2 linked regions of the Rhinolophus ferrumequinum genome follow. The protein of the gene in region 2 purifies or fractionates together with the protein of the main gene of each other region. This does not show direct contact. Links are inferred from orthologs where the notes say so. Each region holds a gene or a part of one and is shown on either strand. Other genes may lie near its edges.

Region 1 (7,161 bases), on a different chromosome or scaffold from region 2:
TACTGTTATCACCACCGTCATGGCTACTGCCACCAGAATGCTCTGCTAACTCGCTCTGTGCCTTTTACGAGGCTGTATCTCCAAGTTCTAGCACAGGACCAGGCATACAGAGGGTGAGAACTGGGAGACCTGAGCCCCAGAAACTGACACAGTCAATCCTAAGCCACACTTTTCCCCATGTGGATAGGGGTCAAAAAGGCCCTCACCTCTGCAACCTCCCTTTCTCCACAAGGGCCTGTGTGGCCCGGGTGCCTTCCCACCACCTTGAAAGAGGCTCTCTGGGGTCGGCACCATACTTGGCCACAGTTTCTTGTTCTGTTTGGGAAAAAAGTGGGATTTCTGGATCTTAATGGGAATCACCCTCAAGACCCAGGGAAGCATATCACAGGAACCTACCACCCTGCTGGTTGCTGCTGGGTGGCGACCAAGCTCTTCCTGGTGTCCTCTGAGCAGCTGCCAGGGAGGCCAAAGCTAAATAAAGGCCGCCCGGAGTCGGTGGGGGCAGCTGCCTGCCCAGCCTGGGCTTTACACCTCCAGGAGGGACTCTAGCATGCTGGGCAGGGCAGAAGCCACAGGAGTGGGCAGGGCCTGCAGGTGCACTGCCCTCCTGCCTTACAGATAGAGAAACCGATGCCCCTAGAATCTTGAGGCAGCACAGCTTACGGGAAGAAGCCACAAGAAACCAGTGGCGGCTGTCTGAGCAAGGTTGCCGCGGAGCCAGGGAAGACTCACTTGTCCCCTTCTGGAATCTGTGTTTTGTTTTGCTTTTTACTATGAGAGTAAATTACCTACATAACGATGATGACGATGGTGGCTAAAGTTTATGGAGAGCTTATTACATGCCAGGTGCTGTCCCAAAAGTATTATACACATTAAATAAATAAGGCAACCTGCACGACAACCCTACGGAGTGGACACTATGAATATTTCCAGCTGGGGATGTTGAGGCACCAAGAGCTCAAACAACTCACTGGAGGTCACGCAGCAAGTCAAGGGATTCAGAAGCCAGGATCTGAAACCAGGTGGGCAGGCCGAGGCTCAAAAGGCCACCAGGCTACCTTTTCACTAATCGCACCTCCCGTCCTAGGCCCTGAGCCAAATTCTTTTCAGATCTAATCTCATTTCATTTTTGCAATGGTCTTGTGAAGGCAAGGCTGGGATTAGGACCCAAGCTTCCTTGGTGCTGGAGATGCTGAGCCCCGTCAGCAACAGCCTAGAGGCTTTCCGTGGCAAGACAGGAAACGTTTCTGCTTCAGGAGTGGGGAGGAAGGGGGGCAGAGGGCAAGGTGGAAGGCATTTGCCACAGGAGAGGGGGCACCGGTCTCCACAAAGCAGGATAGATTAACCTCTTTATGTGACAGAAATGTGTTCCCAAGAATGGTCTTTAGAACTTTGTGAAGATCTTAAATGCTTCATAATAAATGACAAGAAATAGAAGTGCTAGAACTTTCTTCTTAGACTCCAGTGGCGTGCCGAGCAGGTACACTACCCAAGAGACTGCTGCTCTAAGGAATAGGGTGGAAATGGGACTGGGGATCCGATGTGGAGACTAAATGCCTTGGCAAGATGGGAAACGGCCCTTCTAGGAGTTTCCGGATACATGACTGGGAGTTGCCATACCAGAGGGTAGAAGGTTCTGAGAGGAACACACCCTCAATTTGAGACTATAACAGGCACAGCTATGGGGGTGCAGCAGCCCTGATGTGTGGGAGCAGGAGGTTAGAACATTAAGACTTATGAGAGCCCTTCTGTTGGTCTGTGGACACTGCTGGACAGGGAAAGAGGAGGGAGGACACTGGGGCTCGGGATTCTGGGGTCTGGATTTGGGGACAAATATAAAAACGGGCAGTGAATTTGGAATCAGATTGGGAGAGAGGGTTCCTGGTGAGAGCAGGGACAATTTGGGTGCCTGAGCGCAGCAGACCAGGCTGGGGTCAGGGGCAAGGCAGAGTGGGTTTGGATGAGGTGTTCCAATGCTGGCAGAGGTTCCAACAGGAAGCTGGTCTTGGGGTTTAGGTGGTGCCTGGGTCTGCAATGCCAAATAGGGGCAGGGGGTGTGGCTGGACAGGAAGCCACAACGGTAGGGTTTCCTGGTGTCATGGGAAATGGGGTCTACAGTAGGTAAGGCTAAAGGAGAGCAGCCAGAATTGGAGGCTCCATCAGGGTGGAGCTGGTAGTTGGGTCTGGAGGGGAACTGGGTTCCAAACTCCAGGCCCAGGTGGGACTACGGGCCCTAGTGGTGCATAGGTCTACAGGATAGAGTAGGGGTCCTGGGTGTGGGGTGGCATCCCAGGTTAGGAACAAAAACCCCAGGGGAGGCCACGGTTTCTTGTTCTGTTTGGGAAAAAAGTGGGATTTCTGGATCTTAATGGGAATCACCCTCAAGACCCAGGGAAGCATATCACAGAATAGATTCAAAGTATTGAGGACTCTAGGGACTGGGGAGTGGCCGATGGGATATCCAACATCAGAAATGGGGACCCGGGTCCAGACTCTGAGGCAGAGCTCTGGGTGTAAATGAAAGGTCCCAGACGGGACTAGGGGGCACCCCCAAAGCTTGGCTTGGGAGTCTAGACTCAGGAAGGTGCCTTAAGCGTCAACTGGGAGTTCCATGCAAAAATTCAGGGTCCCGGCAGTTCTGCGGTCCCGGAGTTTAATCGAGGCACCCTAGGCGATATTAAAAGTCCAGACTGTGGGGTGGGAATCCCAAGTGTCAACGGCGGAATCCCTGGCTGTATAAGGGATCGGAACTTTGCAGCGGAGTCCCAGGAGGGTGGGGGAAGGGGCTGGGCGCGCGCGCTCTACCTGGTGCCGCCAGCGGAAGAGGCTGGCCGTATCGATATTGGGGTGCGTCTCGTCTTCATCGTCAGACACTTCAATGTGGTCCCACACGCTGTAGTCCACCATCTTGCCTCTGTGGCCCAGCCCGCTCCGGCTGTGAGGGCGGCGGCGGCAGCAGCGGCGGCAGCGACAGCACGGGAGCCTCAACCTGCGGAGCCCCGCCCCTTCCGCTTCCGCCGGGGGCGCGCAACTCCGCCCACGCGTGACGTCAAATCCCTAGTAACCGCGGCGGCGTCACTGGCGACCGAGTTATTCTTAAAGGCCCCAGCGCGCATATTCGACCCCCGGGAGTCCCGGTCGAGACCTCGCCTCATCCGACGCGGGGTTCCCACTAGGCATCTTCTAGGGGTATACGGGCGGGAGCTCCAACCTCAAGCTCCCCCTCATCTCTCGCTGCCCCTCAGTGGGAGTTTGCGGCGGTCGTGGCGGGGGGTGAAGTTGGCGACACTGAGGGAGAAGATTGTCCCCTCAGCCACGCCGCAGTGACATCAGCCCGAACCCCCTGCAGGGGCAGGGCCTCGGCGACGAGACCCGCCCTCTGCCCCTTGTGAGTTGGGACCTAATTTACACTGGGGAGGGGTGTGTGATCTGAGAGGACCTTCCCTCAGGGGTGCAGGACCCTGCCTTGGGAAGGTCTTAGTGAAAGAGGGATATTATGGCCGTGCCCTTGGGGGGTGGGAGGTGGCGGCGATGTGACCCTGCCTTGGGGGCTGGTATTTTCTATGGGAGTACCACAGCCTCCTTGTGCTGCTCTCATCTGCTACCACTCCAGAGCCAAGATTCGCGCATACGCCCCCTCTGGAATCACCTGGATCCCTCAAATGTGTCTCGGACGCGGGTCCGCGGCGTTTCCCCGTGTGGCCGCTAGGTGTCACTAATGTCTAGCCAGCGGCCAGTGCTCTAGGCCCCGCTCAGAGTCTTGGAGAGCCGAGGTGCGAAAGGGGGCTTTCCTCGTACGTAGTAATACTCCAGGACTGCTCATAGCCCCTTCCCTTTCGTCTGGACGCGCTCAAAGAACTCCATTATTCTGAGTTAGGGCGACACCAGCCGCACGCACACTTTCGTAAATCCCAACCCACACTTTGATACCGGGATAAAAGACTCTGTTGCAGCCTAGGGCCAGGATTATCTCAGATTAAAGGGCACTCCGTGAGGGTCCGGGGGGATGATAGGAGCTTTAGACCCTCAGGTGAGGGGCGCCTCTTCCCAGGCTCTCCAAATCGTTTGTTTGGAGGAAGGGGGCTGGAAGGTCTCCAAATGGGGGGATTCCCCTGCCCGGAGAGGGGATGGGGCCATCCAGAAAAAAGCCCCCTCCTGCTGCCGCCCCTCCACCTCAGGCTCCATTCAAACCAATCAGTGGGCGGGCGGGGGCGGGGGAGTCCCCCTGTCTTTCTCCCCTCCCCCTCCAGCCCCAGCAGTCCAGGATCTCAGAGACCGTCACAGCCCGGGCACGCGCGCGCACGGACCGACACCCCAGCGGGTCTCACAATCGCGCACACACACTTACACAGCAGCAAACAAAGGGTCTGGACACCCTTGTCCCCTCCCGCCCCCCCCTCCAGCCGGAGAGGGCGGGGCATCCCCTCCCCAGCTCCCCTGCAAGGTAAGCTTCGGGCTGCGAGCTGCGGTGGGGAGGGGAACCTGGAGCCCTGGAGGGAGGTGGACAGGATGGAGGGGGTTTCCCCACTCCCCAAGAAAGCCGGCCCTCCACCCCGTAGCCATCTGAGGGCTTCAGGCCTGCCTCCGGACTGCGGGGGATGTGGGGAGGACCCCGGATGCCGGGGATTCCCGGGTAGTCGCAGGAGTCTCTCCCTGGCCTCGAGACTGGAGCTGACTGGCCCCAGTTAAACCGGGTCCCAAGAGCCCCAGCTTCCAGATTTGGGGACAGGGCGCCGGAAGCTCTCCCATCAGCGCCAAACCGTTTCTTATCTCCTGCCAGCACAGTATCTCCAACCCTGGAGATAGAGATCCCGGAGTTGTTTTGCACTGTCCTTTGGTCTCTCTCTCCCCGCCCCCCCCCACCCCGTTAGCGCATCCCATGCTGTCTCTGGTACCTGCGAAGTGGGGGTGGGGGGCTGGGAGTGCTCCTTTGGGCTATCCAAGCTTCCTTTGCTGCATCCGGTAAGCCACACACTTAGCTGCAGTGGGACCCAGTAAATGGCTTTGCCTTCCTGAGCCTCAATTTCCACATCTGCAAAGTGGGTAATGGCACACCGAGGCTTACACGAAGTCATGCATGCGAGCCTGTCCTTGCCTCATCATTTATATCTTAGCTCATTTCACACCTATTTCCCAAGTGCCTACTATGTGCCAGGGCACTGTAGCCAGGCCGTGGTGCCATAGCAACCAAGACCAGCCAGGTCCCTGCTCTTCTGACCTTCCAGACTGGTAAGGGAGCAAGATCAGTATGTAAACAGAGAAATACCCATGGTGATTTCAGGCTGTGCAGACTAAACTCCTATCAGGCACAGAGAGTGTTGGGGTGTGGTGGTGGGCGGGGGAGTGCTGGAGATTAAATAAGATTTACCGTTTGTATCTGTCTGCCTTGTTATTTCAGCTCCATGAGGGCAAGATCAGGTTCAAATCAGTGCCTGGTACACTGTAGGTGCTCAATAAATGTCGAATGAATTAAAAAGGGAATTAGACACAGAGTATTTCCTTAGTATTTTAGATCACAATGGCGGCTTTATCATGAACCAGTCCATCCATCCTCCCATTTTACAAATGAGGTTGAGTGAGTCCCTAAGACCCAGGGATGGGAAAGATGTTGTCGGAGGTGATAAGGTTGATGAGGTGTCATCATTCCCATAAAAGTGAGGATGGCTGAAGGAATGGTTGTGAACAACTGGGAAAGGAAGATAGTAGAGACCAGACTTGGGCACGGTCTCTCCAGGAACCTATGATACCCAGGCAGAAACTACCTCTCCTGTGCCATGCAGATATTCATCCATTCAACAAGTATTCAGTGCCTACTACATGTCAAGGGCTGGGGACATAGCAGTGAACAGAAAAAGGCTCCCTGCCCCCAGGGAGCTGATATTTATTGGGGGGAAGAGAAAAACAACATAAACAAATAAATATGGTAACAAACATTATGCTTAGAGCTGTGAAGGAAACAGACAGCTTGTGACAAGAAAGAAAAAGGAAAGGGTCCATTTCAAGTTGGATATCCAGGAAGACCTCCTGGAGGAGTGGAATTACTCTTCCAAGACACACACACACACACACACACACACACACACACACACACAAATCCAGACAAATGTAATCCTACTCACACTCTACACTGAGAACCTAAATAATATGCCTGAGGCCACACAACTAGGTGAGTGGCTGAGCAGAGATTTGAACCCAAATTTGGCATTTCTAACCACTGTGAAAAGCTGCTTCCTGCTGCCTCCACATGCAAATACTCTCCCCCACACACACTCATGTCACAGTCACACAGAGGTACGTCTAACCTCATGCCCACATAGACTGATGTGGTGTCACCCTGTCACATACAAACACTCCTACAGGTAGAGTCTTGTCTCAACTATATAAACTCAGACTCGTGGAAAGTTCCACCTGTCAGTTGAATATGCACAGCTGTGTACAAAGTCTCATGCACGTGGCCGCCGACAGTTTTCCCAGCCCCACTTCAGTGCCAGGCAAGGAGCTTGTCAGACTTGGATGCTCAGGGCCAAGGTGTAGACTCGGCCTTTATCCTCACTCCTTTCCCTCTTGTTGGCCACCTGTCCCCATATCTTCCTGAGAGAAGTAGGGGGTGGGCAGGATGTCAGGCTGGGAGAAGCCAGCGCCCCTCTGTTAAGCCAGGCCAGGGGCTCCCAGGGTGGGCCTGTGGCTGATTGCACTGACAAGCTAGGTGGGGGAAAAAGCCTCTCTCAGTCTGAGCTTGGTGCCAGCTGCCCAGAGCGGCCTGCTCTGCCATCTGGACCCCTCTCCTCAGACAGCCTGCTGCCCAGGGGAGGGGAAGGCAGGCTTAGAAGCTGATGCCCTGCCTCCTGCGCCCAGGTTTCTCCCAGGATGGATTGCTGCAAATGTGCATGGGTGTGTCCGGACAGTGGTGACATGCATGTCACCTCTCTCCCCTGGCCTGTGGGGCTCCTCTGGCCATCCACTCCTCCATTCCGTCCTTCATTCCATATGTTCTTGAGCACCTATCTTGGGCTATTCCAGGCACTGGGGATGTAGCCAGGACTAGCTACAGAATTTGCACAGTACAGGGCAAGAGGAAAATGCAGGGCTCCTGGTCAAAATTATGAAGAATTTCAAGACGATGATAGCAGCGCATTAAACCTTCTAAACGTAGAGCCCTGT
Region 2 (7,411 bases):
AAAACAAAATGAAATGGTTTATTTTTCTGTCTTGCATGTTGTTATTCAAATTTAAATGGTTTCAATGTTTTTTAATGCTTTAATCTTAATCACAATGTGATTAAAGACAAGATTCTATCAAATCATGTTAAAAATCCAATTAACACATTGTTAACAATAATTACCTTATCTTCCCAAGGGTGAATTCTTGAACTAAAAGGTGTAACAACAAAGAAAGTGTAGCTATCCTTTCACCAAAATATGCAAAGTTTGAAGTAAACTCTAAACTTCCACAAAATCAATTTGGTAAAACAGTTTCCTCTTTTTAAAGAACCCCAAATAGTTGGAAATTTCCACTGAACTTTTGTAAGAAAGAAAAACTTTCACTTGTTTAAAACAAAAGGTAGAGTTTTAAAAAATCTTAGATCCGTACTTTATACAAGACTTTATGCTAAGTACATTTGTCCCATGACATGTTTTGGTTAAACATGTGATCATTTGCAGTCATCTGAAAACAAATTCTCTTTCTCATGGTAGTGATCTTCTGAATGAAATGTAAATAAGAAAAGTTTTTAATCAAACCAGCTCCTAGCACACAGTTCACACTCTGTGACATTTGTTGAATGAATGAAATCTTATTTAAAATATTTTACAGCCATAAACTTACATAAACAAAAAAGTCCAAAGTCGAAGCCTTAAGTACTCCGACACACAAAACTTAAACTAAGTTGATGTCAAACTAAAAGTTCAAGTTGCAAAACAATTCACTAAGGTAATTATGGAAAGCCTAAGTGTACAGGACAAAATGAATACAAAAACGTTTCATAAATTTGGCAGAATTACTTTAGACTATTTCTTTAATACTATAAGCAAACATACTATTGCAAATACACAGCACAAATATACAACAGAAACTAAAACTCTACATTCATCTCAATTCCAGTGTTGTCTCATTCATGTGATATGCGTACTTCCCTCACTTTAAAACTAGAAGCTCAAGCCAATCAAAGATATTGGGGTCAACCCCCGTGAGAAAAACAAAAAGCAGATCTTCAAATATAATCTCTTTGGTAAACTTTCAAAGTCAAGACTATGTACTGCCAAAAGAAAAAATACCTACAGTCCTGATATATATCTTTCAAATAATTGTGCAGTCATATACCTTGGAAACTAGTAATTTATTAATAGATATTTTAATAAAAATATTTTCATGTTTTACACAATTATGTCCTGAACATGTGTGTTTTATTAGTCGACCACCCCCTGAAACATTCATATTAATTTATACGTATTTTGCAATGACACTCAAGTTCTGAAGACAAAGTTTCCTAAACCATCTTTATTGGACTGTTCCACCTTTGGTTTTTTCCAATGATTTCCTAACAATCTATGATCTACTTTAATGAGTTTCCACCAAAAACAAAACCCAGTGGTTGTCTAATGATTTACAGTCTACTACAAGTTCTATAACCACGTTTTACCAAATATGGAACACATATCTAAACCGATGATTTGAGGCAGTTAGCAATGTATTCACTGCAAAAAAGTCATTATTTCGTACCTTTTAGATTTAAGATGAACTTAAAGACTGTGAACATTTAATACTAGAAATTAGTCAATATACATAGATTTCATTGTTGAATTTCTATTTGGAAACGTTATGAATTACAAACTACTGGGCTTTCAACCAATTTACCACACTGGTGAAGTAAGTTGGTTTTATTTTCATCACATTATTTTGAGGTAAGAAATGTGAGCTTTCTAGCCTTGACTTATGGGTAAGCATTTCCTCTGCTTTTCAGAAGATAAACTAAGTATCAGTACTGAAAACCTGGCCCCAATGAGATTCAATCTAGCCTAACGGTCTATTCCCGGGAAATCCCAAACAAGGGGTGACCCCGCCTAGGAGTCAGGGTGAACGCAGCAAACCCGCTAAGCTTCAACTTAGGGCTCTGGAGGGCCCCACCGGCATCATGGCTGATGCAGACCGAGGCACAGGAGGAGGTGGTGGACGGGGAAGAGGCTGGTTTGTTTACTTGCAGCCAGAGCCGCCGCCGACAGCAGCGACAGCATCACTGGATCCGCCAAACCCAGCATCTTCCGCACATTTCTATTCTTAGCACACAAGTCCCAAGCGGATCGAAACCCCACTACTATTAAAAACACAGACAAGCACGTTACCCACCGCCCCAGCGCCGTCCTTCCTGCGCGCCGGCAGTGGGGTGGGTGGGGAGGAAGGAGACCCCGGGGGACGCCGGTGCATCCTCGCCTTCACCCCACCCCGCGCGCACCGGCAGCCCCGGCGCAGGAGCGCGGCAGACAGCCCCCTCCCCCCCACCCAAACACTGCCACCGGCGCTCCACGCGTTATGTAACCTCGCCGCCACCCCCCGGTCCGAGCGGGCGCCCCCTCCCCACGCCGCGCCGCCCGGCGGGGAGGGCCGAGTGGAGGGAATGGAGTTGCGCAGAGACTGAAGGCGCCAGGGCCGGGGCAGCCCAGACGCGGACGGTACCGCTAGGCCGGGGACACCCTCCCGCAGCCCCCCGCGCACCGCCGTCCCCAGCTTCCCCTGGAAAGTGAGGGGGTGCCCGTGTCATCCGCGCCGGGCATCCCCCAGCCTCCCCACCCACACCACAGCCTCCGCTGACCCAGCCCCCGCCCACGCCCCCGGCGCGGTGACAACCCCGACGCCCCCGCCTCCCCCCACCCGGCCGCCGCCCCCCGCCCTAGGGAGGCCGGGAGGGAGGACGATGCCGGGGGCCCGGAGGGGGTGGAGGCAAGGCGGGGAGGGGGCGCGAGTGGGGGCGGCGGCTGTTACCTGCAAAGGCGGCGGCGGCGGCCCCGCAGCTGCTCGGGCGGCGGCGGAGGATGGAGCCGGGGGGGCGGGGGGAGGAGAGGGGGCGACTCGGGGGTCCCCCTCCCTCCTCCTCCCCTCCTGTCCTCCCCCCACCCCGCAGAGCCTCTGGCCCCCTGGAGCCCGGAGCGGCCGGCGGGAGGGCAGGCGAAGGGCTGCAGGGGAGGGAGGGAGGGAGCCGGCCGGGCCGGGCCGCGGAGCTGGAGCGGGAGGCGGCGGCGGCGGCGGCGGCGGCGGCGGGCGGGGGAGGGAGGAGGCGGAGACTCTACTTGGGAATCGGATATCGGCTACAAATTCAATTCATCCCCAGAAAACACCGCTCGGGCGGGGGCCGGGCCACGCCGGCGAGGCGGCGGCGGGAGGCGGGCGGCGGCGCTGGGCCCCGGGACGCGCCCGGCACGGGTCGGGGGGCTGCGGCCTCCTCTCCCGGCCGCGCCTCGCCGGGGGGACCCCGCCGCCGCCTCCCCGCCCCCTCCTTCCTCCCTCCTGGGGCCGCCGCCGCCGCTCGGTTCTCGCTGCCGCCGCCGCCGCCGCCGCGGGGCTTGTTGTTGACTTTGAGGAAAACTCCTGACGTCAGGGGCTGGCTCTCGGCGACTGGCGGGAGCGGCTTCCCCGCGTCCCCGGCCTGCCGCCGCCTCCGCTTTCCTCCCGGCCAGGCCCGGGTCCGCAGGCTTCCCCGCGCCCCCCAAACCCGCGGCGCCCCGCGCCCCCTCTCCTCTCGCGAGAACATCCCCCCAGCCCGCCGGAGCCGGGAGTGGGGGCCGTCATTCCTGGGCGGGAAGAGCTGGGTTTCCCCTCGCCTTCGCGGCGGGCACCCGAGGCCGGGGCGTGGAGGCTCGCTGCCCGGTGAGCAGCCCGCTGCCTTCGGCGCGCGCCGCCAGCCCGGGGGCATCTCCGCCCGCCCCCGCGGTGCCGGAGGTGCGCGGCGGGCACACGGAGCCCTCGCACCAAGAAGTGCGGTGCTCTGTGCGGAGGGAACTCGGCACGCGTGGGTACGCGGGAACGGACCCCACCCATCTGCACCTCAGGTGTCAGTCCAAAACCTAAAGCAATTTCTCTCTGTCCCGAGAATCCAGTCCAAGTACACCTCTCCGGAGAGCCACCCACAGCGCTTCCTGCCAGCAGTCATAACCACACATAGTACCCAGGTTGCAATAGGATCGCAATCCACTCTTAAAATTACTCCTTTTTTAGGGATATTAGTTTTCATTGACTTTGGGGAAGCCATGATGTATTGCATTCGCTACGAAGACGATACCATTTCTCTCTTTGGAAGTTCATGGCTCCTGAGAATATTTGCAATGGAGACACTGTTTTTGCAAAATGGCCATGTTTTACCATACATCACATTCCATAAAGTTTGTTTTTTCTTACAGCATGTTTTGTCACTTCTGAACACTTTGAAAAAAACCATGTTATTTCACCACAGGGCACTATACCTGTTATGTCTCCTAATGCAAGGTTTCTTATTAATGCTGTGGCTTATTTCTGTAGAACAGTTTCTCCTCCTGACAAGCACTTCCTTCTCTGCTTTTCCATGTCCTGACAATATTGATGGTAGTCATTCTTTTGTACTATATCCCTGGTATTTATATAGTGAATTGTATTTATACAACTATGTCTACATCTTCTCTCTTATGAAATGCACATCTATTGGGATTGTGGACAAGAGTATGAAACCTAATAAGGGAAAAAAGGTTTTTTTTTTTTAGTCAATTTTCTCCATTTGTAAGGGTAAGGTTTCCCTGGCCATTCTATACCTTAAAAACTTGTCATTTTAAGATACATAGTTCTCCTGACAGAAAAGTCCTCAATTGCTGCTTTTCTCCTTTTCTCATATTTCCCAGCACATGGTGAACTAAGTAAACTGAAAAATAAAAGACTGTATCCTAATTTTATTCAGTTTATGTGTGTATGAAATATATGTAATTTATTCCCATAATTATCAGACTTCTAACAGTCCCTATTGGCAAAATGATTCGATTACAGTTCTTAATGTAAAACACAAAAATGGGTCAGATTTCTATTCTACAGTGACCCAATCCACTTTTATTTTGAAGAAAATAGTTCCTTACACCACCACCACTATAAAGAGTATCTGGAAAGCTTTTTAAATATTTAACTCAGAGTTACGGTATTCGGAATTATTAGATATCTCGTCGATTGCAATTTTTATTTGTTTCTAACTTTAGCAGCAACATATTTGGAAAAACCAAATTTGTCCTATGAGCCATACTGCCTCAAAATCTTTCTCTTAAGTCTCATCAGATGGTATTAAATCTTAGCTGGATTAAACACTAAAGTTAAGTTTCATATAAACTATCAATGGATTATATACTCTAGGCTTCCTGTACAGTATTTGAAAAATTGTAAACTTTTATTTCTGCTCTACTTTGGTCTTCTATAATAGTTTCATAAATTTCTATAATAAAAGCATGTTAGCTGTTACAGAATTATTTTATTTATTATAAAACTATTATTTATTTAAATAGCATTGTTCTTTCTCAGACTTTGCCATCATGAATTTGGCAGACTCTGTCAATTGTGGTATGATGGGACTCTGAACAGAATGTATGCTAGAAGTCTCTTCTCTTTATTGTTACCACATCCCAATAATATGGGGAGAAGCAGCATGTTCATCCATGGAAATGTCGTTCCTAAATTACAGACAGAAAGCCCTCATTCTTTTTAAGCCAGATATTCTTAAGGCTAACATCTCTCAGGAATAGTAATTTATGCATCTTAAGAAAAATATTCACTCTTCTTGACTACCAATGAGTAAATTAGATACTGAGAGCTATTTCTTAGTACTTCCACCATTTCTTGGGAGTAAGTTCAAGTTGAAGGTACATTTAGAATTTCAGGACATCAGATTATCTAGGGTTGGAAATTTAACAAAAAATTTAACAAAAATTAAGTTACTGCTTCTCTGTCTTATTAAAAAGGGTTTCTTGTCTCCAGTGTCTACAACAGGTACACAAAGTACACATAGAATAAGTGTTTATTGAATGAATGGATGAATGAATGAACGAATACATCCATGCCCCCTATGTGCAGTTTACATAGCACTTTCCTCTTGGGATGGCTTATTGGAAAGATCATGAATGCATTTTGGAGACTTGTTGACCTGAGTTCAAAGCCCCTCTCAACAGAATTTATGTCTCAGTCAAGTTGCTTAACTTTTCTAAGCCTTAATTTCCTCATATGTGAAATGACAGTTCCAACTACTTCAACAGCTTATTAAGAGAATTAAATGTGATGAAATATTAGATAGTATCTAAAACACAGTGAGTGGTCAGCCAGCTAAAATTCGTTTACCATAAATGTGAATATATTCACTGTAACAATAACTGCTACAACAAGTAAGTACTAAATTCTATCCTGGCACACAACTATAGAAGTGTATTTCTCATTCGTGTAAAGTTCTGAATGACAAGCAAGGCTCCTTTAAGCTTTATGCTTCAAGCCCAAGTTTCTTCCACATTAGAGCTCGGACATGTTTATCACATAATCACAACTTCAAGCTGGCAGAAGCGGGAAAAGCATGAAGAATCACTCAAGGAAAGTTTTATGTACATCACTTCCATTCATGTTCCACTAGCGACAACTCTCCCAAGCCACCTAACGACAAGGCAGGCCATGAAGTGGAGTCTAGGCTGGGAAGAAAAAGAAATAGTTCTGATGAACAGCCAGCCAGTCTCTGTGACAGTTGATTTCCGAAACAGCCATGTTAAGCCTACAGCTGTAATTAGTGAATATCCTAGATGATTAATAGAACAATTTCCAAAAGAACATAGTTTATATCCACGTATAAGTAGCACAAAAGTCATTTGCAATAGTAATCAGTACTAACTGTCTTTTTCTCTTTTTCACAAATGTCTTTCTTAAGGCATAGGTCAAATGTCTGTATCAGTAATTCGTGAGAATACCTAAGGAACAGGTGTCGCACTAATCGGATGCCACGTGAAACTGGGATACGTAAAGGCCATCTGGAAACTTCCCTCTTATTTCGTTGTCAGATTTTTTTTCCCTGCTACATTACTAGACATTCACACCGTATTGTCACTCTCTCAGACAGCTACGTCTGTTAGCAATTAAGCAATCTCTAGACATTACATTTAGTATTTCAGGACTCTTGGGTCACAGAAAGTTACTGACTACAATTAAATAACTGCCTGTGGGACACTGAGCTAGAATTCATGTTCTAATTCCAAAGCAACAGCATACATAATTATTATTCCTGGCTGTGTGAGAAAATCAAGGTATGCAAATAAAACTAATACATACATATTGTAATCCCAAAGCCTCATTTTGGGATATAATTTTAACTTCCTGAAGTGGTGTGCATTTCTAGTTGTTTCAGAATCTGTTCTATGGGGACTGGACTTTTCAATACAACAGCCAGCAGTAAAATAATGATAATACATTTCCAACCCTAGATAGTTACCTCAACTCCTTCCTCAGTTGTCTCATGTAATACAGTTCTGTTCCAGAAAGTTTCCGCACCCATTTTGAACATAATTTCTTCTGCTAATGAAAATACTTTCAGAATCAACTGGAAAGTTCTATATCTACACC

Evidence for each region. Proteins that work in one complex are often made in the same cells at the same time.
Region 1: the proteins of AKT3 (region 2) and CDC37 purify together in Homo sapiens (co-immunoprecipitation; 3 studies listed by BioGRID and IntAct, counting the BioPlex papers as one, with this or other methods). This does not show direct contact. The link is inferred for Rhinolophus ferrumequinum from reciprocal best matches to the Homo sapiens genes AKT3 and CDC37.

Annotation. Positions count from the first base shown.
Region 1 is NC_046301.1:39,858,493-39,865,653, reverse strand, and holds the start of CDC37 (hsp90 co-chaperone Cdc37), read right to left. Parts: upstream 3,020-7,161; 5' UTR 2,908-3,019; coding exon 2,806-2,907; intron 1-2,805. UniProt on the Homo sapiens protein: Co-chaperone that binds to numerous kinases and promotes their interaction with the Hsp90 complex, resulting in stabilization and promotion of their activity. Inhibits HSP90AA1 ATPase activity.
Region 2 is NC_046310.1:17,132,925-17,140,335, reverse strand, and holds the start of AKT3 (RAC-gamma serine/threonine-protein kinase), read right to left. Parts: upstream 3,020-7,411; 5' UTR 2,798-3,019; intron 1-2,797. UniProt on the Homo sapiens protein: AKT3 is one of 3 closely related serine/threonine-protein kinases (AKT1, AKT2 and AKT3) called the AKT kinase, and which regulate many processes including metabolism, proliferation, cell survival, growth and angiogenesis.